3 linked regions of the Elephas maximus indicus genome follow. Each later gene encodes a partner of the first gene's protein in a complex. Links are inferred from orthologs where the notes say so. Each region holds a gene or a part of one and is shown on either strand. Other genes may lie near its edges.

The links.
Region 2: SMARCC2 (region 1) and DPF3 share a complex: the UniProt entries of both Homo sapiens proteins name them as parts of the BAF complex. The link is inferred for Elephas maximus indicus from reciprocal best matches to the Homo sapiens genes SMARCC2 and DPF3.
Region 3: SMARCC2 (region 1) and ACTL6B share a complex: the UniProt entries of both Homo sapiens proteins name them as parts of the BAF complex. The link is inferred for Elephas maximus indicus from reciprocal best matches to the Homo sapiens genes SMARCC2 and ACTL6B.

What each region holds. Positions count from the first base shown.
Region 1 is NC_064822.1:116,159,586-116,170,045, reverse strand, and holds the start of SMARCC2 (SWI/SNF complex subunit SMARCC2), read left to right. Parts: upstream 1-5,914; 5' UTR 5,915-5,983; coding exon 5,984-6,094; intron 6,095-8,197; coding exon 8,198-8,317; intron 8,318-8,940; coding exon 8,941-9,026; intron 9,027-9,496; coding exon 9,497-9,578; intron 9,579-9,673; coding exon 9,674-9,766; intron 9,767-10,382; coding exon 10,383-10,452; intron 10,453-10,460. UniProt on the Homo sapiens protein: Involved in transcriptional activation and repression of select genes by chromatin remodeling (alteration of DNA-nucleosome topology).
Region 2 is NC_064828.1:85,703,101-85,713,800, reverse strand, and holds the start of DPF3 (zinc finger protein DPF3), read left to right. Parts: upstream 1-6,784; coding exon 6,785-6,816; intron 6,817-10,700. Other genes in the region: non-histone chromosomal protein HMG-17-like, read left to right, coding at 5,569-5,724. UniProt on the Homo sapiens protein: Belongs to the neuron-specific chromatin remodeling complex (nBAF complex).
Region 3 is NC_064830.1:92,064,764-92,074,472, reverse strand, and holds the start of ACTL6B (actin-like protein 6B), read left to right. Parts: upstream 1-5,793; 5' UTR 5,794-5,850; coding exon 5,851-5,875; intron 5,876-6,341; coding exon 6,342-6,418; intron 6,419-6,622; coding exon 6,623-6,788; intron 6,789-7,094; coding exon 7,095-7,195; intron 7,196-9,709. UniProt on the Homo sapiens protein: Involved in transcriptional activation and repression of select genes by chromatin remodeling (alteration of DNA-nucleosome topology).

The sequences.
Region 1 (10,460 bases):
CATTGGCAGTAAAGGAGGTAATGCCAACTGAACATTTATTGTGAGTCAGGCACTATCCTAAGTATTAAACATTAACTTAGACATCCCAACAACTTTTTATAAAGAGGTACTATTATCCCCATTTTCTATGTGGGGACAAAAGTCATATAGTTAATAATCAGAACTGGGAAACCCAGAAGGCCATTGCTGAGTCTTAGCTTGTAATCACTGCACATGACAATGGGCACACAACCAGTGATGAATCACAGGTGAAGACCGGTGTTTCTGGTCTGTGTGGATAAGAAGATGGTGTCATTAACCTGACAGGGAGAAGAGGAGCAGGTTTTGGGGGTGAAGTAATGAGCTCATTTGGGGAACACTGAGTTGGAAGTGTTTAGCCAGAAATGGAGAACAGTCTGGAGCTTAAGACCAAGAAGTTCAGACTAACAATGTGGACATGGGAGCTGTCTGCCCAGACGTGATCAAGAAACTTTAGGAGTAAACACGAACACTAGAGGAGAAGGCTAAGGTTAGGACCTTGGATTTCCAGAAGTAATCTCGAACAAAACCTAGAAAGTAGATGTATGATAAAGTTAGCTAATGTTGTTTCAAGTTTTTTTTTTAAGTAATTTTGAAGTAATGAATCATTGACATGTGGCTCATAAACTAGCTATGAAGGAGTTCCAGAAACGTTTTGTGTAATGACATCACTCCCTGGAACAAGTGTAGGTGGAGAACATTTCAGTCACAAGTCCTCTAATGATTTGCTTTACAGGATAAACTGCAGAAATCCAAGCCTCTTAAAATTTGGAACAAGTCAACAACCTGGAAGGGGATAATATTAAATTCTTGTTAGATTCCCCTCATGTCAGCTTTTTTTATACTAGTCACGTAAAAGCTGAAAAGATCATTATGGGGTGGCATTAGCTAGTTGCTTATAAAGGTGAGGAGAAAGAAGGCAGGAATTAGGCCATCATATGGAAATGACCAGCCTGATTATGCAGGTATCTGACTGGGAAGAATTAAGAAATTAGGTGAGGGGAAATGGGTAACTTTGGTTAGGCAGGGTATGTTGGTGAAAGGAATTTGTGTTTGATCAGATGGGGAGCTGAAGTTCCTGGGCAGGGGAATAATATGACGAAACCAGTGTTTTAGAGCAATCGCACCAGTTAGTATAGGGTGGATTTAAGTGATGAAACTGGGGCACCTTAAAGGTCATTGTAACAAAGACATGAATTAAGATGAAACAATAATTGGTGAGTGATAGGCACAGGAGAAAAGAAAATGTCAGATAATTCTTAAGGTTAAACACTAGAAGAAACTGAGAGAAGAAAGGGTTCAATAGAAATGGAAAAGTTGAAAATGTGATTCTGGGAGAGAAAGAGAAGTTTTGCTTTCATTTTAGGTGACAGTAGGCCAGCTCTGCAGACACACAGGCAACAGGAGATACAGGATCATGGTTTGGCTGAGAGGTCATGCCTGGAAAGGTGGCTTGAGATATTAGGAGAAGGGAGAAGAATGGAGCTTTGGCAGACTTCACAAGAGGGAGAAAATAAATGAGGCAGAGAAGCAGTGTCCTGAGGAGAAAATAAAATGTCTTTGAGGCCTAATGAGAGATTTTTAAAAGAAATTATTTCAAACATAGGAAAAGATCGAGAAGACTATTGGATTTGGTTGATGGTTTCTATTAATGTCTAAAAATTTTCAGGAGGCAGAAACCAGATGACAGGGTATTAAGGTTGCACGGAGCTGGAGGCACAGCATATTTTATTTGAAAAGGTAAAGTAGACAACAACGTGGTGATTTGGAAGTGTCAAGTGGAGGTGGGGTTTTGTTCTGAATTCATGAAAGCTTAAATTAGCAGAGCAGGAGAATTTGAAGGTGTTATGAGAAGAATGGTTATGGAAGCTTCCTTAGGAGATTGAAATGAGCAGGAGTGCAAAGTGGAGAAGATAACTTTAGGGCAGATAAGGCCAAATACTGTACACCAGGAACTAAAGAATGCCAGTGAGTGGAATGTAGTAAATATGTAAGAGTGGTGAGAGAAAGGGGGTGAGATCATGCAACACAACGATACAGGGATAGAGGATTTGCTGGGGTGGAAGGGAAAGGGGGAAGGAGTCGTGGGTGGGCCAGGGGAGTCAAAAAAATTTAAAATTATCTATTGTATATGAAGGGAGAGGTGTTGGCCTCTAATCTCCAGAAGTTACAGAGGAAGTACATGAGAGTGAAAGGGAGAGTCTCCAAGTAACAACCTATGCCAGACTCTCCTTCCCCATCCAGATCCTCCATTTTGTAAGCCATGGATTCCTCCTTTCTCTCTGCACAACAGCATTATTGGTTGCCCTCTGCTGGTCAGTTTTGGTATTGGCTCTCCAGGTATTTAAATCTGAGTGCATGCACAAAAAGAGATTTGCTAGGAAGTAGAATACTGAGTTTATTACTACTACTGAGCCTATTAATTCACTCAGTACATATTACATCATATCTATGTATAAGGCCATTTAGATGAGATACAAAGAAAATATAAAGCCTCAAAAAGCTTATAATCTAGTCTGAGTCAAGATTAAAACATGTACACGTAATTCTCAGTTCACTGTACTGTGGTGGCTTACATGCTGCTATAATGCTGTAAGCTACACCACTGGTATTTCAAATACTAGCAGGGTCACCCATGGTGGACAAGTTTCAGCAGAGCTTCCAGATTAAGACATTGGGAAGAAAGGTCTGGAGGTCTGCTGCTGAAAATTAGCCAATGAAAACCTCATGGATCACAACAGAACACTGTCCAACTCACTTGCTTTGGACATGTCATCATGAAGGATCAATTGCTAGAGGATGATGTTTGGTGAAGTCGTGAAATAGAGGGCCAACAAGGGTATAAGAGACCCTTGGTGAGATGGATTGGCACAACAGCTGCAAGGATGGATTCAAACATGCTGGCTGTTGTAAGGATGACACAGGACTGGGCAACATTTGTTTGTTGCACATGGGGTCGCCATGAGTCGGAGGGGACAGCAACTAACAACAACAACATGTAACTACTGTAAAAAAATCCATTTATTCAACAGTTTTTTAATTGAATGGCTTATATGTGCCAGAGTTTATAGTCTACCGTTGCATTCCACCGGGGAAAAAAGACTTTAAATAATAGGGCATAGGATGTGATAAGCATAGGTAGTCCGGAGAACCAACATTTAAGTGGAGACTGAGTAGAAGGTGAGGATGAGAAAAAGCATTTCAGGCAGAGAACAGTGTGAACAAAGCCATGTACCAGGAACTTAAAGAATGCCAGTAGCCCTCACAATTATCCTTACTTCCAGATAAAGGCCCAGAGAGGTTAAGTATCTTGCTCTAGTAAGTGGTGGGCCCAGCCTACAAGCACTCTTAAGTGGACAGACCTGAGACATATTTAATCAAACCCAAAACCAAGTCCACTGCCATTGGGTTGGTTCCAACTCATAGCGACCCTATAACGACAGGGTAGAACTGCCTCATGGAGTTTCCAAAGCTGTAAATCTTTATGGAAGCTGACTGCCACATCTTTCTCCCACAGAGCAGCTGGTGGGTTTGAACCACCAACCTTTTGGTTAACATCTGAGCCTTTAACCACTGCACCATGAGGGCGTCTGTTGAGAGATATTTAGAAAGTAGGATATACAGACTTCAGACAGAGCCCTGGTGGTGCAGTACTTAAGAACTAGGCTGCTAACCAAAAAGTTGGCAGTTCAAATCCACCAGGCACTCTCTGGAAACTGTGGGGCAGTTCTACTCTGTCCTATATGGTTCCTATGAGTCAGAATCGACTAGAGGAAAATGGGTTTGTTTTTTTGGTATGTCCATACGTATTTATTTTGCAGAGGTCTGTCAAGCGAGATGTCCTGCAGGCAACTCATTGCATGGTGGTGGTACCTGTTAAACCCATTGCCGTGGAGTTGATTCTGACTCATAGTTACCCTATAAGGACAGAGGAGAACTGCCCCCTTAGGAGTGCCTGGTGGATTCAGAACTGCTCACCTTTTGGTTAGCAGCTGTAGCACTTAACCACCACACCACCAGGGTTTCCTATGGTGGTGGTGGACTGATTACAGCTGGAGTGATCAGGAGTATCAGAGAGGAGGGGCTTAAAGAATGTGTAGGATTTTGGAAAGTGATCCTGGAAAGAACGGCATGAGCAAAGGTATGAAGGTGAGAGGCTCCGAAGTATAAATGTGTAGAAAGTTCTATGAGTTATCCTTGAACGCCTTGCCTTGCGGAGACCCTTCCTAAAGATGATGCTGTTATGCAGGAAATAAATATATAAAAAGCACACCCTCAATGAGCTCTTTCCCACAATCAGAAATTAGGGGATAGGAACAGCAGGGTAAGGTGAGTGCAGGATGGTTAGAGATTTGAGAAGAGATTAATGCCCTCGCTTGGTTAATACACATTTAGAACAGTGCCTAGCACATACTGAGCACTCAATAAAAAGCAACAGTTATCTTCCAGCACCCTGGCTAGATCTGCAGTGTTTATGTTTCAATAGGCTACTCCCTCCTAGCCCTGTGATGCCTGAAGTACACTTCCTCAAGGAAATCTAAATGAAAGAATGCCCTGTTTCCTGGGTCCTCGGTGTAATCAGACCCACAACGCACAAGGTGTGATTTCTGGTCATGAAATTCAGAGGTGCCCTCTTTTCCTGGAAATCCAGGTTTAACAATCATTACAAAATAGGCACTCACACACATTCCCAAACAAAACTGAAACAACCCTTCTTTATCCAAATCCTTTTTTATCCCCCCCCCTCAGGAAAATGAAACGCTTTGCTAGCAAACCTGGTTATAGAATTCTGAAAGTGCCTTGCAGCCTAGCAGCCAACGCAGTTGTGCATAAATTTAGCTTCCCGTAAGCCCCCATCCCCCAAATCCAGGGGTGAAACCTTTCAGCTTCCTTTTTCGAGAGGGAAAGGGAAATGCAAGAAAGACATGTGCGGGGACTGGGGCTCCCTTAACATGTCGTGGAAAAAAAAAAAAAAAAAAAAAAGCGCCGCCGTCACGAACAGGATTCGAACCTGTGCGGGGAAACCCCATTGGATTTCGAGTCCAACGCCTTAACCACTCGGCCACCGTGACTCCCAAAACCGCGCTCCGCCGTGCGCTTACAGAAGGGGTCCGCATTGCGACCGGGGAAGAACTGCAGTGAGAAGTGGGACCCCGACCCATCCACACACCCCCTATATCCCTCCGGCTCCTTACCTCTCCTCTCCGCCACTCAAAGGAAAAGGGTCGGTGGACGGGCTGATAAGGAAGGTCTCCCGCCTAGCGAAGAGTCAGGGTCTCAAGGAGCGCAAACCTGCTTAGGAGGCGATGGCGAGGCCTGAAGAGGAAGCGGTTGGAGGGAAGGGACTGGGCCCCCACGGTGGCGGCTAGGGGACTCCTCGGGCTAAGGAGTAAGAGAAAGGTCCCGGAACAAGGTGTTAGGGGTGAGAACCTCTGGAAGAGTTTAAAGGGGAGTTCCTGGGGATGGATGGAAGGAATGTATTGTGGAAAGGGGTTTGGAGTTCTTTGGGATTATGGACTCTGGGGTTACGGATGTGCAAGGAAGGAGAGGACAACTCCAGGCTGGGATTCCTCAGGCGACGTCCTAGAAGTAGGTTAGAGACGTACCCCATCCCTCGAGCTGAGGCAAAAGAGAGAAAGGGCTTCGCGTCAGGTAAGGGGCGTTTTCAGGAGAGTGGACGCCCCCTCCAGGAAGCAGCCGCTTCCCAGGAGGCCCCCGACGCTGCTGCCGCCGCCGCCGCTGCCGCCGGGGAGGCCGCCGGGTCTGGCCCGGCGCAGAGCCTCTCCGCCGCCGCCGCGCCCGGCCGGCCGGCAGGGGGCGCTGCGCGGGCCGGGGCCGGCCCAGGCGGCGGGAGGCGGCGGCCGCGGCGGCGGGAGGCGGCGGGAGGCGGGCGGAGGAGGAGGCGGAGGAGGCGGGAGCTGAGCTGAGCGGGGCGGACGGCGGCGGCGGGCCCGAGCCCGAGAAGATGGCGGTGCGGAAGAAGGACGGCGGCCCCAACGTGAAGTACTACGAGGCCGCGGACACCGTGACCCAGTTCGACAACGTGCGGCTCTGGCTCGGCAAGAACTACAAGAAGGTACGCGGCCCGGACAGGCAGGGCCGCGCGGGAGCCGGGGGCGGGACAAAGGCGCTGCGACCCCGCAGTCCCCCGGGCTCCTGCCCACCCTCCTGCCGCCCCCGGCCCCTCCCCCGCGACCTCCGAGCAGCTCAGCGCGCCCTCCGCCCCGCCCGGCGCCCCGCGCCCCTCCCCCAGCCCATTTTACCCCCACCCCCAGCCTCGGATTCCAGCCCCCGCCCCTACTGCTGCGCCCTCTACCCCTTGTTTTTCTCTGCTGCCCCGGCGGGCCCCGGTGCAAGCAGACCACCCGCTCTTAAGCCACCGGCTTCCCGCTTTTCTGGGAGAGAGGCCCGGGGGGAGGGGGAGGGGGCGGACGGGGCACCCAGTGGGCGCCCCCCTAACGCGCCCGCCACAGTGCCGGCCAGAGCTCCCCACGGAGCCAGGTACCAGGAGGGCTGAGGCCTCCCTGGTGCTTTGTGTGTGTTCAGAGATGATGAAAGCAGGAGCGTGAACAGCCACAGAGCAGGCCCCTGGCTGATCATCGGCCTGAAATAAGGCCCCCATCTGGGGATCACCTGTCTCCACCGCTCATCCCCCAGCCTCCATCTAAGAGGCACCAAAACCTCTTTGGGAACCAGGGTATAGGAGTTTCTAGGGAGCGGCCTCTAAAACCATTCCTTGGCTTCACAGTGAAGGCATCCAGCATCTAGCCTTGCATTGCCATGGGTTTGGAGTTCAGAGGCTAGGACAAGCCTTATAACTAGCCTCCCACCATCAACCCCATGAGTGAAGATAATAAAGTAGTGAACAAAGGACTCAAGAAGCCTTACCTGTCCTGTTAGCAAACCTTTTCCTAGTGTCTTCTTTGTCTTTGGGCCTGGTAAAAGGAACGTTTACATATAGGGTGTTTCGCTGGAGATGGTCTTTGCCTCCTGTCTTTCCCATTACCCCCAATTAGGGCTCTCTTTCTACTTTCCAACTCTTCCTGTCCAGCCTTGCAGCCTGTCAGAAGTGTGATGGGTAGACTTCCCCTCTGATCCTGGCTATGAGTCTGGCCCTGTTCTCAGGGTCTCCCTGGGTGTCGGAATTCTGACAAACAGCTGCTGGGTCTGTTTGTGGCCTGTCTGCACCTCGGTGTGAGGCTCTGGTTCCCAGGCTTCTACCTTTGACCTTTTGGAAGAAAGATCAGGCTAGGAGCTTTTAGTCTGTGGCCCTGGAGGAATTGACAGTCTGTGACCTGGTTCAGCTTTCATGCTCTTAGCTCTTTGTTATTTACCTTTTCCTTCACTGATCTCTTTACACCTCCTACTGAGAGGAGTTCTAGTCTCTGTGCTTAGGGTTCAGGAAACAAGGGTCAAAAGGTAAGAGAAAGTTAACCTCTGGATCGGCTTCAACTAGGACAGAAAGGCTAGGATGCTAGACAGTGTAGTATGGAAATGTTTAAGTAGTCCCACGTTTGTTTTTGTCAGATATATTTTCCTCAGAAAGGAAAGATACCGTCTTGGTGTTCCCCACCAGGCAAGTGCTGGTCCTTCCCATCAAGGAGGGCCTACACCAAGCCTCGAAGACATTTGTGCCCAGTTCCTATTACAATCAAAACATACAAGCTTTTTCTCAGTCTTCTTGCCCTACCTCACTTCCTTGTGTCTTTCTCATTAGGCTAATTTTAGGGGGGAGTCTTGACCTTCCACAAAATCCCTCCAAGAAATAACACTGTGGTCATGTTTAGTGAGCCCTGTAGGCATTGCTTCCATGGCCTGAGCTCCATAAACCTTCAGTTATTTTACAACCCTCTGTGTTGTTGGCTAGAAATCAGGTGCCACGATAACAGGGTCCTGCAAATCATATTTCAGGATATAGCTGAGGGAAGAGTAGGAAGCTTCCTTCACTCCCAGCACCCAACACTGGCAATCTGTGCTGGTGGCAGCAGAATTTCATCTTCCTGGTTTGGGATGTCCAGGGCCTCCTTTCTGCTGTTTTCTTTACCGAGACTAGACATCTGGCGAGGAGAGCACTATTTTCTCAGCTCCAGATGCTTCCAGAGCACCTGTGGAAGAATCTGGGAGATGGTGGACCTTTTATCTAAGGTCATTTTCCTTTTCTTTCCTTCTCTTTCCTCAGTATATACAAGCTGAACCACCCACCAACAAGTCTCTGTCTAGCCTGGTTGTACAGTTGCTACAATTTCAGGAAGAAGTTTTTGGCAAACATGTCAGCAATGCACCACTCACTAAACTGCCGGTGAGTGCAAAACCAAGGGGGCAAATCCTCCAAACTGGAGAGGGGGTTGTATCTTTTGCATATTTGTAAATTTCCGGATTTTTGAGATCTGGGTAATTTACTGCCATACCTGCCCCTAGTTAGGGTATTACAGGCTTGACCTAGTCCCCAAGTTACCATTCCCTTTGTCTTAATAATACTTTGGGCAACAGGTTATCTCAGAGCATCTTGGCTCAATCCACGAAACCCTCATGGCATGGCTAAAAGTGTATGAGGTTTGGATTTGCACAGGCTGGTGTTCAGATCCTGGCTCTGCCACTTGATGTCTTAGTGGTCTTGGGCAAGCCACTTAACCTTTCTGAGTCTTGGTTTCTTCATCTCCAGATGAGAGTAATAATAGCTACCTTGTAGGGTTTCTGTAATGGTCAGTGAGGTAACCTAGTGAAGTGTTTGGCACAAGATGGTGCTTTGTGAATATTGGGTTCTTTCCCTTCCCTCTTCCAAGCCACATGATACAATGGTTAAAGAATTCCAGTTTTGAGAAGGAGATCAGTCCAGCATGGGGTAGAAGGAAAGGATTGTTAGGTGATAAGAGAATTTAGGATGTAACTCTCACATACTTCTTCCCTGTCTCAATTTTATAGATCAAATGTTTCCTAGATTTCAAAGCAGGAGGTTCCCTGTGCCACATACTTGCAGCTGCCTACAAATTCAAGAGTGACCAGGGATGGTGAGATGCCTTCTCTATGCTTCTTCCATCTAGTTTAGAGGGAATCCGCCTTTATAATTCTCTGGGGCCTTTTGGGGGCTGGGAAGGCATAGGCAAAAATTCTTGTGAGTCTCTCACTTTGCTAGGTCAGTATGCCTGAGTTAGAAGGTCAGAAAAATGGCTGAGAATCAGAGGCAAAATAGTCTCCAAGAGTGAGTGAGTATATGTGTGTGTGTGTGTATGTATGTGTGTGTGTCAGTGTGTATATTGTAGAGGGAAAGAAATTCTTAGGTTGGCATCTCAGTTTTTCTTTGTCCTTTTGGACTAAGCACAGGGTGATTCAAGGAGTTGAGCTCAGTGAACCCCAGATCCCAGGTCATATTGGCAAAAGCAAGATCACCTCCCAGTTTCCCATGTTAAGAAGTTGTATACTCAAACCTCGTCCCCAAACCTGAGCTATACCACTCACTAGATTATTGCCCCTTTACAAGGCGGCGTTACGATTTCCAGAATCCATCACGCATGGACCGCAACGTGGAGATGTTCATGACCATTGAGAAGTCCTTGGTACAGGTAATAGTCAAGAACACTCCGCATCTCTCTTCCTTCCCTCTGTGAGAAACACCCTTTCCCCATAATCTCTTCCCTTCTGTTTCTCCTCTCCACAGAATAACTGCCTGTCTCGACCTAACATTTTTCTGTGCCCAGAAATTGAGCCCAAACTGCTAGGGAAATTAAAGGACATTATCAAGAGACACCAGGTGAGTAGGTGGATCAGGGGAGATCTCATAAGCTCCATGACTTTCTCCCTGGCATATTCCACACCAAAAAGCAGCCCTGAAGTACCATGTTTTCTACTGCAGAGGTAGCCGTACCTACCTGGAGAAAGAATAGAGTTAAAGCCCTGAGTCTCTCTCTCTCCATCTGTTTTTCCCATTTCCCAGTCTTGACAGGTTTGGATCACTGTTGTTAGAGATTGCCCTGTCCTGGGGAAGAAAACATCCGCTTCCACTGAGCTAAAGGCCTGATTCTAGATAAATGAAATCCTTGTTCTTTGGAGCTTAGTAATAAACAAGCAGATGTCATGGATAGGGGACATACAGCCCACTTTAAATTTCCCATGTGTAGATTATCTATTCAGAGGATTATCTAGCAGTTTTTTAATTTTTTGACTTCTCCCCATTATTAGCACAGTCCAGCAGTTAACCTCTGCCGCTCTGGTGGTGTGTGCTTAGAGAATGCAAACTATCTTAAATACCATCCTAAGCAAAATATGATAAGGAAAGCAGGTCTGTGGTTAAATCTTATTTTGATGTATTTACACCGTGGGTAATTTAAAGGGGACCATATTTACATGTTTCTCCCTGTGCCATCCAGGGAACAGTCACTGAGGATAAGAACAATGCCTCTCATGTTGTGTATCCCGTCCCAGGGAACCTAGAAGAAGGTGAGACC
Region 2 (10,700 bases), on another chromosome or scaffold:
GAAATCCTGATGTCCTCTCGCACTTCCCTGGAGGCCTTTGTATGTGCTGCCACCTCTGCAGGGACATCATTTCTCCTATGGGCTATTTGGGACTAGGCTCAGGGGTCACCTTTTCTCAGAAGACCACCCAGACCTTTTGGTCTAGTTAGTTCCCTTCATCCAGCCCCACACTGCTGGGCACTTCTCCACCCCACACTCTGCATTATAATTGCTGCCTCCCCCTCCCCTACCTCTCCAAGATGAGCCTTTTAAAGGTGGGGACTGTCTCTAGTCTGTGTACCCTGAGGCACAGCAGAAAAGGTGGCTTGCAGCAGTACAGAGTAGGGATTCTACAAACGTTTGCTCTGTGAATTAGCTGTTGCTGGGGTTATTTTGGAAACCCTGGTGGCGTAGTGGTTAAGTGCTACGGTTGCTAACCAAGAGGTCGGCAGTTCAAATCCGCCAGACACTCCTTGGAAACTCTATGGGGTAGTTCTACTCTGTCCTAAAGGGTCACTATGAGTCGGAATCAACTCGATGGTAGTGGTTTGGCTTTTGGTTTTGGGGTTATTTTTGGTGTGGAAAGCCTTTCATCCCTTGGCTCATTTCTAAAGGTTAAATTAAATGTGAGCATCTCCGTGAAGTCTTAAACAAATAAACAATCAATCAAAAAGAAAAACAAAAAAACCCAACGTGTTGAGGTGGAGTTGATTCCAGCTCATAGCAACCTTATAAGACAGAGAACTACCTCAAAGGTTTCCAAGGCTGTGATCTTTACAGAAGCAGACTGCCATGGCTTTTTCCCTCAGAATAGCTGGTGGGTTTGAACTGCAGACCTTTCGGTTAGCAGCCGAGTGCTTTAACCACAGTGCAGCCAGGGCTCCTTCAAGAAGTCTTACCCTTCTCCAGTGTTAGAAGGGTAACATTGCTTCCTCTGCTGAGATTCTTTGACATATATCACTTCTCCCTTGTTTTATATTAATTTATAAAAATCCTGTTACCTTGAAACTTTGAAAACTCAAACGAATGAACCTCTGCTGGTGTTCACAGTAGGCACTCAAACACCCAAGAATGTGTCCATTGGGAAGATGGGCACCAAGCCAGGAAAAGGAGAAAAGCTGGAGAGGCCGCTTTCCTTTTTAAGTTTCGTCAAGTAATTGCTCTGCTTGCTTGTAGGGTTGAGCCTACTATCTTTATTCTCTCTCCAGATGGATGGGGAGAGCTTCTTGAGGGTTGTTTCCATGTCTGGGTTATTTTTGTTTCGCCACCTGTGCCTAGCACAATGCCTCCCTCATAGAAAGCCTCCAATGGATGAATGAATGAATGAACTAAGTTAGTGGAAACAGCAAACATTGCTTTCTATTTCTGACTCTCCCCAGAGATATGTGGCTTCAGAGGCCTGGCCCTGGGAGCATCACCCAGACCTGGAACTTGACATCTTTGTTTTTCTGTGTTTAGAGATACTGTGAAGGGAGTGAGAACCCCTGCCCCCACAGCGCCAAGAAGACAGAAAATCAGGCTCTGTGCATATTTAATTTTTATTGACATTTCAGCCACTCTTACATGTACGATTCAGGGACATTCATTATGTTCTCATGCAGGCTGTGGCTTTGATGCCCTCTTTTCTTCAAAAGAGTTCCTCTTCAGCTCAGAGTCTAGAATGTCCCAGAGCTGGTTCTGGACCTCAGGGAACCAGCCATGGCCAACCAGCTGCTATGGACACGACTGATTGTTCTGTGGATGGATGGAGGGATTGAGGGTGAGCTTGGTCTTATTTTTCAAATACCCACTGGACTCGAGACTCCTTCAGCTCTCAGAGCCCACCAGAAATTGCATTTATTTCAGATGGCTTTTGTGGGCATACTTCCTCTTTCAAATGAACTCTTTGGGTGTTTGTGAGGCCTTTGTCTCCTTTCTCATATTTATCTTTGAAAAGTCAGCTGGAAAGGTCAGCACTTGCTACACAAGTGCCATTCTTCTATATTTCTGGATGGGCATCTCCTCGTAGCTTTGATTGTCTTCGGAAACAGCCTTCAACTTTTTAGGAGTAAACCGAGATGGGTGCCCCTGTGGTTCAGATGCTTGGGTCCTCAGTCACAACCCAAATGTTCCTTTGGATGGGTGCACTGAACACATACTTGAGCTGAGTGAGGGAGTTTTGCTAATTGACACGAAGGATGAATTTGAGAAGGCTACAAGGGTGAAGGTGGCTGGGTAGCTTAAATGGTTAAGTGCTTAACTACTAACCGAAGGTTTGGTGGTTCGAATCCATCCAGAGGCACTTTGGAAGACAGGCCTGGTGATCTGCTTCTGAAAGATCACAGTCTTGATGACCCCATGGAGCAGTTCTATTCTGCACACATGAGGCCACCATGATGACAACTAATAACGACACAGGGTGAACTAATATGATTGAGAAAGGCCCATAATTCTTTCCTTGGTCATACACACTGTGTAGAGCAGCTCTATTTGATAAAAATATGGTGTGAGCCATGTGTGTAATTTTTTATTTTCTAGTATCCACATTAAAAAAAAGTGAAAAGAGGTGAAATAGGCTTTTATATTTTAACCCAGTATATATAAAAAATTAGCACGTCACCATGTACTCAATATAAAAATTATTTATGAGGTATTTTACTTTCTTTTCTGTACTAAGTCTATGAAATCCAGTGTGTATTTCACATTTATATTGTTGTTGTTAGCTACCATTGAGTCAGTCCCCAACCTATGGTGACCCCATGCATAACTGAGCAAAATGCTAGCCAGTCCTGCTCTATCCCCACGATCGGCTGCAGCTCAGACTGTTGTGATCCATAAGGTTTTCGATGGCTGATTTTTGGAAGTAGATCGCCAGGCCTTTCTTCCTAGTCACCTTAATCAGGAAGCTCCAGTGAAACCTGTTCAGCATTGTAACAACACATCGTAAGCCTCCGCTGACAGACGGGGTGGCTATGCAAGAGGTGCATAGGCTGGGAACTGAACCCCAATCTTGCTCACGTCAGGTGAGAATTCTACCACTGAAATCACTCCTGCCCCCATTTTACATTGATAACACATCTCAATTCAGACTAGCTGCATTTCAAGGGCTCGATAGCCACATGTGGCTAGTGGTGCCCATATTGGACAGCACAGAACTAGACTCTCCAAGTGAAACAGGAAAGTGGTTATTCTGTACTAGATCTGCCCTCCAAATTAAGCTACCTAAACTAAATACAGATGAAAGGGCTGTGGTGGGAAGGAGTGTGTAAATGACTATCAACAGAACTTTAAAAATGCAGTTTAAAAAGTGTTCTGATAGTCTAATTAGCAAGAGGACATTTTTAAGTTTAAGTTCTATGACCCCTAACTGAAAAATTTCTGTTTATTATTTTTTTCTCATCAGAATGTTCATTTGCTCATCTTGCTTAGACCAATGAGTTCAAAAAAACAAACTTAGTGAACAGTTTCACCTCCTGTTGTGCCCTTTTATTCAGATACCCTACATTCCTATGCCATCAGGAAATGATTAATATCTATGGGTGGGTATATAAAAATAATGGAAACCCTGGTGGCATAGTGGTTAAGTGCTACGGCTGCTAACCAAAGGGTCAGCAGTTCGAATCCGCCAGGCGCTCCTTGGAAACTCTATGGGGCAGTTCTACTCTGTCCTATAGGGTCACTATGAGTCGGAATCGACTCGACGGCACTGGGGTGGGTATATAAAAATAATAGTCGACATTTATGGAGAGAGCCGCCCGAAGTAGGTTCTATTATTATCGCCACTTTTCAGATGAGGAAGCTAAGACCTTACAGTTGCTAAGTAAGCTTACCCGGGATAACCCAGCCGATGAGTGGTGGACTCAGGCAGGCAGATTCCAGAGCTCACACTCCTAGCCCTACACAGCCCTCCTTCACAAAACTAATGTAAAATTTTACATTCTCCAAAATTGTTCAAGGCTTTTTTCACCTTTCAACATGTCCACTAAGCCCTCTTGCTTTTCAGAATTCTGGTAAAAACATGTTTTTGTGGGAGAGGTCCGTACATTTTAAGGCCTATTTGGGAAACTGGCAGATGGAAACTGCCTTATGGGAGAGAGATCTTGATCTACAAGATGAAAACCAAAGTTAAAGATCCCAGGGTGGTACACACGGTTAAGCACTCAGCTACTAACTGAAAGGTTGGCTGTTTGAACCCACCCAGATGTGCCTTGGAGGACAGACCTGGCAATCTGCTCTCAAAAAGGTCACAAACTTAAAAACCCTGTGGAGCAGTTCTGCTGTGCACACACGGGTTGCCATGAATCAGAATCAATATGACGGCAACCAGCAACCACATCTATCCTAGAGAAACACAGTAAAATATACACAAAGAGATCTGTTAAAAAAAAAAAAAGTTAAAAATAATAACTCTTACAGGTCTTAGAACTGATAAAAGATGAATTCACAATTCTGTTTATTTAAAAGTCATACCTGCATTGACAGTTAAAATGACATTCCCTTGGGTAACAAAAAGCAAGGATATCCTACTTCTAAAAAAAAATCCTACCGTTGTTAATTCATGATTCTTTTCAATTCAATCATGAAATGTAACTTAAATGTTTAAGCTCTGGGTTAAACATTTTTTCAAAATGAAGGCGGATCTGGTCTGCCATTTTCAAGTGTGCCGGGTAGTTAGGAATTATGTTGGTTTCTGCAGCTGGGCCTTAACAGAACCAACTATATGCACATGCTCAGAGTATATACTTGCCATGTAGATTTTGTTTTTCTTTACTTTTTCCATTCAATTGGAAGTCCAGTTCAGGGCAGACTCTACACCTCCTGCCTTTATACAGCTGGATAGATTAAAATATGCTGTTTTTTAATCCAAATTGTTGTGGTTTCAATCCGAATCAAAGAGATTGGTGGGAGTTATAACTGTTAATTCAAACTCACTGAGAAGACTGAACTTCTTACATCAGAGTATATAGTACTGGTTTTTAATGATGTCAAGGCCCATTCCAGGCAAAGTATAAACTTTTGAACTAAGCCCTTGGCAAATTAATAAGGAAGAGATTTTTCAAACTTGAATTTGAGAAGACAACTTTTTCAGACTGTAATCTCTTCTAAGATGCTGTACAAAAAGTCACAAATGCATCCGTGTAATTTTACTATTAACTAGTAAGAAAAAACAAAAACCAAATTGTTGCCGTCAAGTAGATTTTGACTCATATCGACCCTATAAGACAGAGTAGAACTGCCCCCCAGGGTTTCCAAGGAGCGGCTGGTGGATTCGAACTAAGGACCTTTTGGTTAGTAGCATAACTCTTAACCACAGGGCCACCAGGGCTCCAGTCAGAAAGAAGGAAGTTAAAATATTTCAAGTCTATTACAAACATACTGATTCAGCCATTTCTATTCATCTGTAACTCTAATAGTGTATGGAACTGAACTCTGAAAGTTCTGGAAGGTTTATTTTAATTTTTAATTCACTGCTTTGAGAGGAGCCCTGAGAAAGGAAGTGAGAGGGCACAGCTTTAAAGAACCGGCAATTTGGCATCTCCTCAGCCCCCTTGTCGCCCCTCCCCCACTATTTTAGCTACTTGACCTGATTAAACAGCTTTGGGACTGTAGCCAGACTTCTGTATGCTAACGAGGCCCCTGCCCTATTCACGATTTAGTGCGATTTCATCCACCCGGAGCTTCCAGGCTGCCCAGTCTGAGCCTGACTTCTCAGAAGTCTCCCAGTTTTGTCAGAGGCTCGCCAGTGAGGAGTTCACACCAACTTGAAGCAGACAGGGACTCTCTGAACGCCTCAGGCCACACCGGATTATTCATTAGCAAATTCTTTTCGCCTTCTATCTAAATAGGAAAGGTGACGCCTGAATCGCCTGTGCCACTCCCGGAAAGGGACTCTAGGTCTACAACACCCAATCTACAGTCTACAACTCGTCTTCAAGTTACTTGCTTTCCAGGCAGCAGAAGGCGTTTCCAAAAGTTTCCCTAAACCTCCCTTACCCCTAAGCCTAAAGGTCACAGCGCCAGGTCCTCCTCAACTCTCCAACCGGCTGGAATGTGATCATTTCAGAAGTTTCTGGTGTAGGGGGAGAACAGAAAGGGTGGTAGTGGGGAACCGCGCAGTGTGACCACCGCGCGTTATGTAACGGAAGCCCTGGCTGCAGGAGTGAGCAAGCCTGACATTGAAACATTCCAGGGGGAGGGGAGTTGCTGTCCGGGAGTCGCCAGGAACAGCAGAGGCAGTTGTAAGACACTGAGAGAGGAAGGTGGCCGAGCTAAAGAAACCATTTTGGGTATTGGAATATTAAAAAACCGCAGGTCTCAGAGTATTAGCAAACGGCAAGACACGTGTAGTAATTTGACAAAACGGGAGCCTTCCAACTTTTGCACGGGAACGAGTAGATTTGCCCTTTGGGGGATTAAAATTAGCCAAGCCAAAAGCTAATGGATGAGGTTCAGTAGTTTGTTCGCAGTATTTAAATAGTTATGCTCAGGAGCGCAAACTCTCCGCAGTTATTTAGAAAAGCGGCGACTTAATCCAAACTACAATACTCTACCGAGTGCGTCTCGACTTTCCCCAATCCGAAAAGGAGTTGCTCGCGCGGTACTGCCCCTTTAAGACCTGCTCGCTCTCCGGCTCTACAAAAGGGAGTGACCTCTGGGCTTTGACAGCTCCCCTAATAACTACCACCGCGCAGGCCCCGCCCACCTGGCGGCCAGCCGCGCCGATTGGCCGGCGGGCCGGTATCCCGTGCTCTGATTGGCCTGCCGCTTCCCCTGAGCGAACCTTTAGAACTCTGAGACAGACAATATTCTGTTACATTGTAGCAAAATGGCGACTGTCATTCACAACCCCCTGAAAGCGTAAGTAAGACCAAAAAATGTACATATTCCGCGTGGTTTCAGTATGAAAAAAAAGGCGCCTTCTCCGTGCGGAGCGCTGCCAACGCACTGCGCTTGCAGGCGCCTCCAGCCGCGGCAGGGCTTCTCTCTTTTCTTTCCGCTCTGACTTCTTCATCTTTTTTTTTTTTTTCCCCTACGCGTAGAAATGTCAGGAGATGCAATTAACAAGAAGAAAACTGTTACATTTGTGTTTTGCTTAATTGGTGGACAGAGCGAGAGGGGGGTGATCGGTAGGGGAGCCAAGCGCCCGCGCGCTCGACAGCTAGGGGGATTGTGGGCAGCGAGGGGACGGCAGGTACCCCGGGTCCCCTACTGAGCGGGGCGGCAAGTGCGTAGCTGGGGGAGGCCGAGCTGGGGGCGCGAGCCGGGCAGTGGCCGCCTCGGTGCACTTGGCTGCGCCCCACGCCTCCGGAGCCGGCGGCCCCCGCCTGGCTGCTCCGTCCCCTCGGGCCAGCGGACCGCGGCGGCTCCGGAGTTTGCAGGGCGCTCTCTGCCTTCCGATCGCTCGCGGGGAGTTTGTGCAAACCTTCCGGAGTTGGGAGGACCGCGGGGGAAGCCGCAGGTCCCGGGAGCTCTGGGGCCCAGGTGGCTGCCTGGGGCTTTCCTGCGGGGCCGCCCCCGGAGCATGACGGCGCTCCGGGCAGTCGCGGGCGCGTTTGCGTATGTGTTTGTGGGCGAACTGGCTGTAGTAAATTAATGACTCGGGTTGACTTGGGGTTGATTCGGAGGCCGGGAAGCTGCAGGTCTTAGGAATGGTGTTCTCATCTCCTCTGGGTGAAAAGGCGAGGCGGGCGGAGAGGCGGCTCCGGGCTCCCCGCCCCAGCAGGCAGCGTTTACTCCCGGCCAGAGCGAGGGGCAGGTGCCTCTGGCCGCCGCCGAGAGACTTTGTGCAGACGCCCAGATCCGGGACGGAGGGGGCGGGCTGGGCAAGGGCACGCGGGGGCCAGTCCCCGGGTTCGACAGTTAATTCCTGCCTGCCTTCCTTCCTCCCCCTCTTCATCCTGGCTTCCTTCCTTCCTTCCAGTCGGTCGAACTGTTAAGCCGCCAAGTCCGCTTGCGATCATCGAGCCGGGGGTGGCCTCGAGAACTAGCGTCGCTCTTAAAAGGGTGCTGTTGGAGGCTCCCTCGGGTTCCTAGCGCGACGTGGGTTCGGGGTCCGTGCGCATTTGATCAGGACTTCGGCGCCCGGCTGGAACCCGCCAGCGAGGGGAGGGGGGGTGCGAGTGGGGGCGCTTCGTGTTCAATTCTCTCTTGTGCGCGGCCGAAGCGGACCCCGGTTCTTTCAACTCCGCGCATCAGCGTCCGCTCCCCCCGCCCCCCCCCGGGGCTCCTCACGGAGTTAAAAGCCAGGTTCCTACCGGGGGGGTCATAGGGGGGCTCCTAAAGCGAAGAAACGCTCGGGGAGAATCGGTCGTGTTTGCACCAGCTTATCTCCCACTAGCAATAAGGAAAAGGGGTAGGAATGTCCCATGTCTAGGAGTTTAAAATATATATATTGAGTGCGGCCGTTAAGAGGACTTTGGAAGCTGAAGCTGATCCGAGAGGACCTCTCGGCCTCGGTTCTTGCACGGAAGCTTGGATATACGGCTCTTGAACGTTACAGCGTTTCACCCAAGAAAGAAAATGTTTTATGGCAGAATAAATGCGCGTAACTTCGCCGCATCCACGCTCCTCGCCTGCGCGGCTACGCAGCTGATGCTGGGAGTTTCTACCAAATCCACAGCAGATTTGCAGTTTTCCCATTTCCAGCTGAACTCACATAGCGGGGCTGATACCACCTGGTAAACTCAAGTTAGAGAAATCTGTTTCACATGTGCACCGTGTTGGTTTCCTATTGGAAAAGCGGTGCTCTTGTTACCCCGGAGCCCGCTTGCTTACGCGCGGGCGCAATATTTCCCGGTTCCGCGGTTCCCCCTGCTTGCTCTAGTTTTTTTTTTTTTTGACCACTGGATGGTGTGTGTTTTGAGGGGGGGGTGTCTGTGTTGGGGTAACGTTAGGGGTGGAAAAAGGGACGGAGAGGCGGGAAGAGGGTAGCCGAATTCCGGCTGATCAATGGAATTAGTTCTGAATTATTATACTCGTACTTTGTGTAATTAGAAACAGTTGCAATGTGATGTATTTGTAATTCTGTGTCTCGACACACGCGCACATTCTCGCATACACACAACACCCCTGCCTGCTTTTTCTAGGTGGGAGTTGCATCCCAACCCCTTTCCCTGGGGGTGAGGGAGTGTAAACAATGCCGGGACCAGTCTAGCCTCCTGCACCCTGGACGCTTTTTAAACTCCTAACGCCAAGAGCACACACGCTATCATTGGGAGACCGACACCATCTGCCTGTATTTTTTTCAAAAGCAACTTGTTTAATAAAACATCTTATATATTTCATTTGTTTTTAAAAGTTGCTGATCAGGAAATAATACACACGTGAATCAATTATGCATGGGATAAATTAGAACAAAGCGTAGAGCCCGAGCCACATCAATCGGAGGGGATGGATTGCAGTGCTGGGAGGAGGGGGAGCGGGGAGAATGGTTTGGAGAGCTCTGTTTTTATCCTCACGTGTCCCTCCTGACAATGAAACGGAGCTGAACGACATTAGCATTTTCTCTGTGCGTTGTGAGTCTGTCTCCCCCTCCCTTAAAAAAAAAAAAAGCCAACATCACCGACGCCCCCTACAGAAGCTGGTTACACAAAGGTTTCCTCTGGGATTGGAGGATAAAGTGGTGGTTGGTAAATGTGCTGGGAAGAAACAAGCTCAGGTTTCATGCAACACCTCTGTAGGGCTCTTTTTACCCTGAGTATGGGCCATTTTTTCATTATACTAGCTTTGTGCATGTGGGACATTCAATAATTCAATGGCTGGGGTAACTGGATGACACTGTTTGGGTCTCCTTGCTTTGGGGTCTTCCTTAGGGCCCTAATGTCCTGAAGCCACATCTCCTGTTTTAGCAGTTTGGCTTTCTTCCTGCCTGTCTTTGATCGCCCTTCAACTCCTTTTTTTATTCTTCCTTGTTGTACCCGTCTTCACCTTCCCCTCTGAAGCTGACAGCCTACCTTCTCCCTCTGTTGTTGCCTTTAACATCTTATTACAGCGCAACAGGGTGTTAGAGGCAGAAACTGGAGCTGCCTAGGCTGATAAGATCACAAAGGGGACTCCGCAGGTGGCCCCACAACTGAGCAGTCACATCTGGACAAATAGAATTTAAAAAATTGATGGGCATGTGTGATGTGTAAATGTATATTACACATTATTTAATTTAGCAGCTACATTGTCTAATCCTAGATGTGTGAGACCCTTATTTCCTACACACATATGCATGATAAGGGCTGTGTAGTGAAGCAAACACATGCAGGTAACATAAATAAGGATTTGATATAGCACTTTGTGTCAATCACATCGTATATTCGTATTCTCACTGCCTTCTCCATTAAGGAGCCTTAATGCTTTTTAATATAAATTCTAATCTTATTTAATATTCCAGTTCAGATAAATCAGCTTTCAGCACTTTAAGCAACTTACTCTTTTATTAAGTTATCAAAACCCTGGTTTGTATGCACTTAACTGGGAATGTCTGCCACCTTCTGCCAGACTTGATTATGCATGTATGTATCTATTATTGTAACTGCCTGCTTAGAAAAAGAATAACGGTTATTATTATTTAATTATTCTATATAGACCAAAAGGGCTTTACCCCAGATAACTATTTATTTATAGAGAATAACACCAGTAAACGAATTTGGCATGCTTTTAACTGTGACTATACATATACATAATTGTATTTTGAACTCGCTTTCCTAAACATTTAACCTTGCTTGGAGGTATGTGTTCTTATCCCTGTTTTG
Region 3 (9,709 bases), on another chromosome or scaffold:
ACCCAGGAGCTTCCCAATGGATAGTGAACTAGTTAGAGTCCAGTCTAAGGAGCTACAACATCCACAACAACAACAAAAAAACAAACCCATTGCTGTCGAGTCAATTCCGACTCACAGCCACCTATAGGACAGAGTAGAATTGCCCCATAGGGTTCCCAAGCAGTGCCTGGCGGATTTGAACTGCCAGCCTTTTGGTGAGCAGCCTTAACTCTTAACCACCAGGATTTCCGCTATAAAAAAGAGACTCAAAAATATAGTGGCTTAAGCAACAACTCCAAAGTAGACAGACACTCCAGGACTGTGGAGGCATCTCTGTCATCCTTAACATAAGCTTCCATCTCAGGGTCCAAAGTGGCTCTAGCAGCTCCCACCATTATATCTGAATCTCATCCATTGAGAAGGGAGTTGAGGTAGGAAGTACAAGTCCTTTTTGTTTAAGAACACCACTAACTTTTACTCAGAAGTTGGCCAGATGCAAGAAAGGCTGGAAAATGTAATATCTAGCCATGTACCTAGCTAAAACATTAATAAAGAAAGAAGGACAGAGGTATTAGAGTAAGGCTAGCAGTCTTTCCTTGGAGAATAAATCCTGTCAATGCTACCTCTTAAGTATTAAATCCATCATTTCTGCGCATGCCACATACCTTGGTTTTTGCCTGTTTCTTTCTGATCAACCTTCCAAATTGTTGCCAGAGATATATTTCTAAAATGCAAATTGGGTCATATAACTTTCCCATTCAAAACCGTGTAGTAGAAGGCCAAAGCCTCTTTATGGGACACACAGACTTGGTCTTGTTCCCCCTATTCAGAATGCCTTCCACCCCCACTCCAACACCACTTCCTTATCAGCTGGAAAAATTCAGGTCATTTCCCCAGGCTTCTTTTAAATATTGCCTCTTCTGTGAAGCACTCCTTAACTTCACTGTTATTGGTGCCCCTCTGCAATGCTGGCTTCATTCCTATTGCAGCCTTTATTTATTCCTGGGCATTTGCCACCTGCACTAGGCCAGGGGCTCCCTGAGAAGCCAAGGAACTTGGTTTACCTGGCAGATGGCTGGGTGAGAGTTCGACAAGCAATGGTCAGGTCCCCACAAGATGCCAACTCATTTCTAAGCTGTAGGATCAGAGGGCCTGTTCCTGCCACCTTGGAATCATTACCAGGGGCTCAGGTTCAGCCAGTCTGAATGCGGGCATGAAATGTGAGAATCTCCAGCTGACTTTATTGAATTAATTGTTTCATCATCCATCTTCCTGGATAAACAATAAACTCTATGGATCAAGTTTTATGAGCCATTTTATTCCCAGTGCCTATTTTTTTTATCGGGTACATAGGAAACCCTGGTGGCATAGTGGTTGAGAGCTATGGCTGCTAACCAAAAGGTCGGCAGTTTGGATCCACCAGGCACTCCTTGGAAACTATGGGGCAGTTCTACTCTGTCCTATAGGGTTGCTATGAGTTGGAACTGACTTGATGGCAACGGGTTTGGTTAACGGGTTATCATTACATAGGGAACATTTATGGAATGAATAAAAGCATGACAACATTTGCCCCAGGGTAAGCATTTTTCACATGCTTTGGTTCAAATCCCAGCTCTGGCACTTACCAGATGGGTAACCTTAGGCAAGTCACTTAACCTCGCTACACTTCTGTTTCCCCAGCTGAAAATGGGTATAATAATTAGGCCGTTATTAGGATTAAATGTCTTATTATTTGCAAAGCATTTATCTTATTCGATCTGTATGCTGAGAAAGTAATCCGAGAAGCTGAACTATATGAAGAAGAATGCTGCATCAGAAGTGGAGAAAAACAGCATTAACAACCTGCAATATGCAGATGACACAACCTTGCTTGCAGAAAGCAAAGAGAACTTGAAGCACTTACTGAAGAAGATCAAAGACTACACCCTTCAGTATGGATTGCATCTCAACATAAAGAAAACAAAAACCCTCACAACTGGACTAATAAGCAATATCATGATAAACAGAGAAAAGATTGAAGTTGTCAAGGATTTCATTTTACTTGGATCTACAATCAACACCCATGGAAGCAGCAGTCAAGAAATCAAAAGATGCATTGCATTGGGCAACTCTGCTGCAAAAGACCTCTTTAAAGTGTGGAAAAGTAAGGATGTCACTTTGAGCAATAAGATGCACCTGACCCAAGCCATGGTATTTTCAATTACCTTATATGCATCTGAAAGCTGGACAATGAATAAGGAAGACCAAACAAGAATTGACACCTTCGAATTGTGCTGTTGTCAAAGAATATTGAATACACCATGAACTGCAAGAAGAACAAACACATCTGTCTTGGAAGAAGTACAACCAGAATGCTCCTTAGAAGCAAGAGTGGCAAGACTTTGTCTCACATACTTTGAACATGTTATGAGGAAGGACCAGTCCTTGGAGAAGGACATCATGCTTGGTATAGCAGAGGGTCAATGAAAAAGAGGAAGACTCTCATCATGGATTGAATTGTGTTCCCCCAAAATGTGTGTCAACTTGACTAGGCCATGATTCCCAGTATTGTGTGATTGTCTACCACTTTGTCATCTGATGTGATTTTCCTAGGTGTTTTAAATCCTACCTTTATGATGTTAATGAAATGGGATTAGCAACAGTTACTTTAATGAGGCAAGACTCAATTTAAAAGATTAGATTGTGTCTTAAGTCAATCTCTTTTGAGATATAAGAGGAGTGAGCAGAGAGACAGGGGGCTCATATACCAAGAAAGCAGCCCCAGAGCAGAATGTGTCCTTTGGACCTGGGATTCCTGTGCCGAGAAGCTTCTAGACCAGAGGAAAATTGATGACAAGGACTTTTCCTCGTGAGAAAGAACCTTGCTCCAAAGAAAGCCTTCTCCTGGAGCTGGCACCTTAACTCAAACTTGTAGACTCCTGGACTTTGAGAGAATAAAATTATGTTTGTTAAAGCCATCCACTTGTGGTATTTAGTTAGAGCAGCCCAAGATAACTCAGCCAGCCCTCAGTGAGATGGATTGACACAGTGGCTGCAACAATGGGCTCAAACATAGCAATGATTGTGAGGTGGCACAGGACCAGGCAGTGTTTTGTTCTGTTGTACGTAGGGTTGTTATGAGTTGAAATCAACTAGATGGCACCTAACAACAACCATAACCTTGGTCAAGTCACTTAACCTCTCCATACCTCTGTTTCCCCATCTGCAAAATGGGGATAATAATCACGTTATGAGGATTAAATGACTTATTGTTTGTAAAGTGTTTATAACAGTGCCTGGCACATAGTAGATGCTTTGAATTTGCTAAATAAAGGAGCTGACCTCTGATTACTTTTCCAATCTCATTCCCCACTGATGCTACTTTCTCCCACCAACTCATATCCAACCCTCCTTCTAAACTGAGCTCCTAACTATTCCCACATAAACCCTTATGTCAGAAATATTCATGTCTCAGCACTTTTGCACATGCCATTACCTGCATAGTTCATGATTCACTTCAAACTTCACTTCTAGAAGCCTTTCTGGACTCTCAGAGACAGTCCCTCCATCCTCTAGGCCTCTGTTGCACCTCATTTTCATTCATGTCTGAGCTCCCCATTGCACCAAGACTCTCTGAGAGCAAGAATCTATCTTATGTACCTCAGTATTCTCACACCTAGCATGTTCCCTGGAACACAGTCAGCATAAAAAAATGTTTGTTGAATCAATGAATGAACAAATTAAATACACTAACTACCTTCACCTTAAACACCTCCATAATAGAGTAGAATCTCATGTCAGATCCCATGACAAATGAAAACTGGCTACAGTTGACAGGGACATAAACCAATTCAGTCCTATACTTAGAAGACTGTAGCTTTTTCACCAGCCTTGAGAATAAAATTCTCTTCTCATTACCAGAGAGTCTAAAGACTTCTAACTTATGCGTTATAATATTAAAGCCTCAAAATCTCCCCAGGGACATTCTGAAGACCCAGTCTTTATGGAGTAGTCCTGTCGCCCTACTCTTAGCCAGACACTTGACTATGGTATCACATTGAGTCCTCACCACCAGGTGTTCTACAATGGAGGACAATGAAGCTTGAAGAGGAACACAGAGTTGTTATGAAACAAGGTCTTCTCTCAACTGGCTGATAAGAGGATCTAGATTCTAGTCCTGGCTCTGCGCCCAGTGAGCTGTGGGACCAAGACAAGGCCCTGCCACTATCTGAAGAAACCCCTGTAAAATCCACAGATTGGATCAATGATCACTAAAATTTCTCCCAATTGGGGCAATTTCTGAATCTGGGGGTGGGCGTGGTGCAGGGGAATTGAAAAGGTGAACTCACATGGGAGGTGAAGCAACACCATTGTCAACAGGCCATGCAGGCCATGAATCAAATTCTTTGGTGTTCTTTACTCCTCACTTCAACACTTTGAAAGATGAAGAAATGCAGGCTCTAAGAGGTTTAGGGGCTCATTCAATTCATACAGGCCTCAATTTATAGAGAGGCCAATGATTGGCCAGGGTCACTCAGGAGAGTCTCAATCTCCCAGCTCCTGGGTCAGTGCCTTCTCCCCTACATCTGACCCTTCCCACTGCAGACTGGACCCCTCCAAGCCTGGTGATCCAGACCTGGGCCTGCAACCAATCCAGGGCACATAAGATGTCACTGTTACCAGTAGGGAGCCACTAAGCCAGCTGAGATCAAATGTCCTTCTGGTGGGGAAAGGTAAGACCTCTTCCAGAGTGGGTGTCTGGTGAGCAGAAACTTCAGGGGCATTGTGGCAGTCACACAATTCCCTCTCTCTGTCATCTCCGGTCTTAACGTTCCCCCCGCCAACAAGCAGATGGAAAGGCCCTCAATGCACATGTATACGCATGCACATAAGTACACACATACACACACGTATGCACGTGCACACATATACCAACACACATAAACATGGACATACAAGCACACAGCTACACACAAATGATCATACAAGAGTCTCTGGCTAACCCAGGCTGTCAGCACTGCTCCTTCCCTTCACTATTAAAATCACTGTGGAGGTGGTGTCATGCCAGGAGCCCAGAAGAGGCTAGAAACCTCCCAGTAGAAAACCAACTTGCTTAATAAATGCCTCCAGAGCAGAACAACGGGCTGAAGAGAGAAGCCTTGGGAAAGGAAGCTAAGGCTGGATTAGCTGAGGTCCTATGTGTGAGTGGGTATGTGTGTGTATGCACACGTGTATGCGTGTGTACGCATGTGTATGTGTGTGTACACATGTGCATGTGTGAGGCCCAGGCATCAGAGAACAGGGGAGAAAAAGAGAAAGCCATCAGAAAGACAGGGGTGGAAAGACACTGGGAAAGGACGAAGACACGCACCACCCCCCCCCCCGCCCCCGTACCTCTTTCCCTTCTTCTTCCCTCCCCTCCCTCTCCCTCGATTTCTCTCAGGCCTGGGCTTTGCGGACCAGAGCTCTGGAGCAAGACGGTGGACGACTCTCCAGGACTATGGCGCCCTCTTCCCCTGTCCCCTTTAAACAAATAAAGGAGCAGGGGCCCCACCAGTCACCCACCGGAGTGCTGGTCTCCGAATGGGCGGGGTGTCCATCTCTTTACTACTGTGTGGGCCTATCTCTTATGGTCGGTCTCTGCACCCTCGCTGTTCCCCTACCTCCTCCCCTCAGCCAGATGTTGAGGAGTCTGCCCCTTTAAAGCAGCGGCCCCCGGCGGGGTTATTGTCTTGCTTAGCAGCCAATCGGCGGCGCCGTTGGGGGCGGGGGATCTGGCCCTCCGATTGGCCGCCTCACGCCCCGCCCCCGCCCGGGATCCCGGGAGCTGTCCGGACGCCTCGGTGCTGATCCCGCCGCCGCCCACGGGCCGCGAGCTGCTGAGAGGGCACTATGAGCGGGGGCGTCTACGGCGGAGGTGAGCGAGTCTCGGGCTTGGGGCTTTCCAGTCCGGCGCGGCCTCGCCCGCAGCCCTGAGGCCCGAACCTGCGCGACCCAAGCTCCAGGCACCCTGGGGCCTGTCAACTCGACGCTCGAGAGGGCCCAGCCCAGGGCTTGGGTCCCATGCCACCCCTGCCTTTAGTCCTTCCCGGACGCCTCTCGCTCTCCGGGCCAAACTCTCTACCATTCAACCCACCTCTTCAGGGACCCCAGCCCCTTCCTTCCCCGCCAAAGACAGTGGCCTGAAGAAGGCCACTCAGCAAGACGGGATTCTGGCTGGCTTGACTCCCACTCTCAGCACCCTGGATTCCAGGCTGAGCTCCCACCTGCCCCTGCGCGGGATGAAGGTGGCGAGACTGTGGCTCTGCCCTGACCTCCTCTCGGAGGTGTCCAGGCAAGAGAGTTTGGAGGAGGCCCCCTCACAAGCCTGTCTCCTCGCACAGATGAGGTGGGGGCGCTGGTCTTTGACATTGGCTCCTTCTCAGTCCGCGCTGGGTACGCTGGGGAGGACTGCCCCAAGGTGAGTCTTCCAGCTCCCTTCCCAAATCCTAGGGGCTCCGGACTCCCCTCCAGGCTTTACAGTGACCTAGGGCTCTCACAGACTCGCAGAGAAGCTCTGCAGAGGGAAATGTGGGCGTAAACCTCTGGCGGGCTGAGGGCCTTGCAGTGGGGCAGGACCAGGGCAACAGGGTGATCCTTCTCCCTGCCCATCCTCCCCCCTCAGGCTGACTTCCCCACCACGGTGGGGCTGCTGGCCGCGGAGGAGGGGGGCGGGCTGGAGCTGGAGGGGGAGAAAGAGAAGAAAGGGAAGATCTTCCACATAGACACCAACGCCCTGCACGTGCCTCGGGATGGAGCGGAGGTCATGTCGCCCCTCAAGAACGGCATGAGTAAGGGGCCCCACCCACTGCCTCCCAACACAGACCCGGAGCTCACTCCCCACGGCCCGGGACACAGCACCCACACCCACGGAGTACTCCTTACAGCTGCCCAAGTCCCAGTGACCCCTCACTGTTTCCCACAGCTGCCTGGTTCCCAAACCAGGGGCTGCCAGATTCCTGGGAAAGAGGCTTTTCTGCCGGAACTGGTCCCACTTCCCTTCCCCTGGACTTGGCTTCCTTCCCTCCTCTTTCCTTCCGGTCCTCTGACCGCTGCTTGCCCTCCACTGTCTCTCCACGCTGTTCTCCTGGCCCCAGTCGAGGACTGGGAGTGCTTCCGTGCCATCCTGGATCACACCTACAGCAAACACGTCAAGTCTGAGCCAAATCTGCACCCAGTGCTCATGTCCGAGGCGCCGGTAAGTGCCTCGTCCAGCTCCTAGTCGGGCCCTGAGACCCAGGCGCTTCCTTTCCGCCATTCAGCTGTCACCTCAAGTTGCCCCCATCAATCAAGCCACCTCCTCCCTTTTTAGGCTTTCCTTCCAACCCCATAGATCTTCAACCATTTTTCTTCCTTACTGCCTTAGTCTTCATTTCTCCTCATCCCGTGCTCTATCCACTTGCCCTTCCCCCAACCAGCCTTATCTGCGGCCCTTTCCCCACCAAAAGTCCTTTTTTGAACTTTTAACTTAATTTTTTTTAATTTTGATTGTGTTTTAATTGAAAGTTTACAAATCAACTCAGTCTCTCACACAAAAACTTATATACACCTTGCTATTTTTTTACGTACTCCCAATTGCTCTCGCCCTAAGGAGACAGCCAGCTCCGTCCCTCCACTCTCTTTTTTGCGACCATTTCACCAGCTTCTAAAACCCTCTACCCTCTCATCTCCCCTCCAGGCAGGAAATGCCAACATAATCTCAAGTGCCCATCTGATCCAAGAAGCTCACTCCTCACCAGCATCCCTCTCCAACCCTTTGTCCAGTCTGATCCCTGTCTGAAGAGTTGGCTTTGGGAATGGTTCCTGTCCTGGGCCAACATTAACTTAATATTTTTGTCAACCTTATGTATGCTCATAAAGAGTCAGTTTGCTTCATAAAGTATGTTAAGAAGAAAACTGTAGTTCCTTCCATTTCTGCTTTTCCAACGGGCATAGCTTTTATCTCATTTAGCTAAGTCTTTTGGTATTTCCTTTCATATCTCTAAATATCATGGTTAAATTGCTGCTTGTGAATATTTTTTTTTTAGTTTTAGACATTATCTATGAGCTTCCCACTACAGGAAATTAGTATTTACTTCTCTTTCCTTCCCCAACCCACACCACACACATTTCTCATTCCCCACCTTTATATATAGTTGTATTTTAGTTTTTTTTTTTAAGGTCAATATTCAGTGTTTACACTTTATTACAATGTATGGTAATAAGGATTGGGACAGGCAATAAACCATGATTATTTTTCCTTTCCTGAAAAACTTTTTGTTTTTTCTAGAACTGAAAATTGTCTTGGTTTTTATTTTCCTTAGTTTTTAATCTACTTATTAATAACATGTCCCTAAATTATTCATCAGTAATCTGTAACTCCTCTCAAGACATTAATTCCATTAGGTAGTCTATCAATTTCATCATCTGGAAGACATCTCTCCAGGAGCCCATTGACCTGCTCCACTTTGGACTAGTAACCCTTTACACATGGGACATAGGTGTCATCCTGGCATCTTTCTTCACCATCATTTTGAGGAATTCTTTTTCTTCTTTCCTGTAGTAGAGGTCCATTTTCTGTATCCCATGATTTTTTCTCTTGATTTACTCCCTTGTTTTTATGGAGCACAACCTCCAGTAGCTTTTTTAGAAAGATCATGGGAAGTAAATTTTTTTTGATACCTTGCATGTCTGACCTTGGATTAATAGCTTGGTTAGGTATAAAACTCCAGGTTGGAAATAATTTTTCTTCAGAATCTTAACGACAACTTTCCATTATCTTTCAGCATATGTTGCTACCATTGAGAAAGCTGAAGCCATTGATTCTTGATCCTGTGATGTGATACTGTTTTCTTTCTGAAAGTTTATAGAATCTTCACTTTGTCCTCAATAGTCTATAATTTCACAGTGATATGTATTGATATGGGTCTATTTTCGTCATTGCTCTAGGCATTCAGTATGTCCCTTCAATCTGGAAACCATGTCTTTCAGTTCAGTGAAAAATCTAAAAATTACCTATTTGACGGTACATTTCTTTCAATTTCCTCTGTTCTCTCTTTTGGGAATCCTGTTACTTGGATTTTTTGCCCCCTAAACTGGTCCCATTATTATTATTTTTAATCTTTTGTCTTCTATTTTCCATCTCTTTATCTTTTTGCTCTAATTTGCAGAAGTTTCCCTAAACTTTACTTCCAACCCATCTATTCAGTTTTTCATCTCTGCTCTTGTAGTTTTCATTTCCAAGAGCTCTTTATTTCCTGTGTGTCACTTTTTTTTTTTACTGTGCTAAAAACATATATAACAAAACTTTTGCCATTTCAACATTTTTTCATGTACAATTTAATGACATTAATTATGTTATGCAACCATCACCGCTATTTGTTTCCAAGTTTTTTTCATCACCTTTAACAGAAACTGAGCTTCCCGTAAGCAATGACACCACATTTCTCCCTCCCCTCAGCCCTGGTAACCACCAATCTGTTTTCTGCCCCTATGGACTTGCTCATTCTGGATATTTCATATAAATGGATCATGTAATATGTGATCTTTCGTGTCTGACTTACTTCACTTAGCATAATGTTTTCAAAATCATCCATGGTGTGGCACGAATCAGTACTTCATTCCTTTTTATGGCTGAATAATATTCCACTGCATGTATTTACCACAATTTACTTATCCATTAATCCATTAATGAACATTTGGGTTTCCATATTTTGGCTATTGTGAATACTGC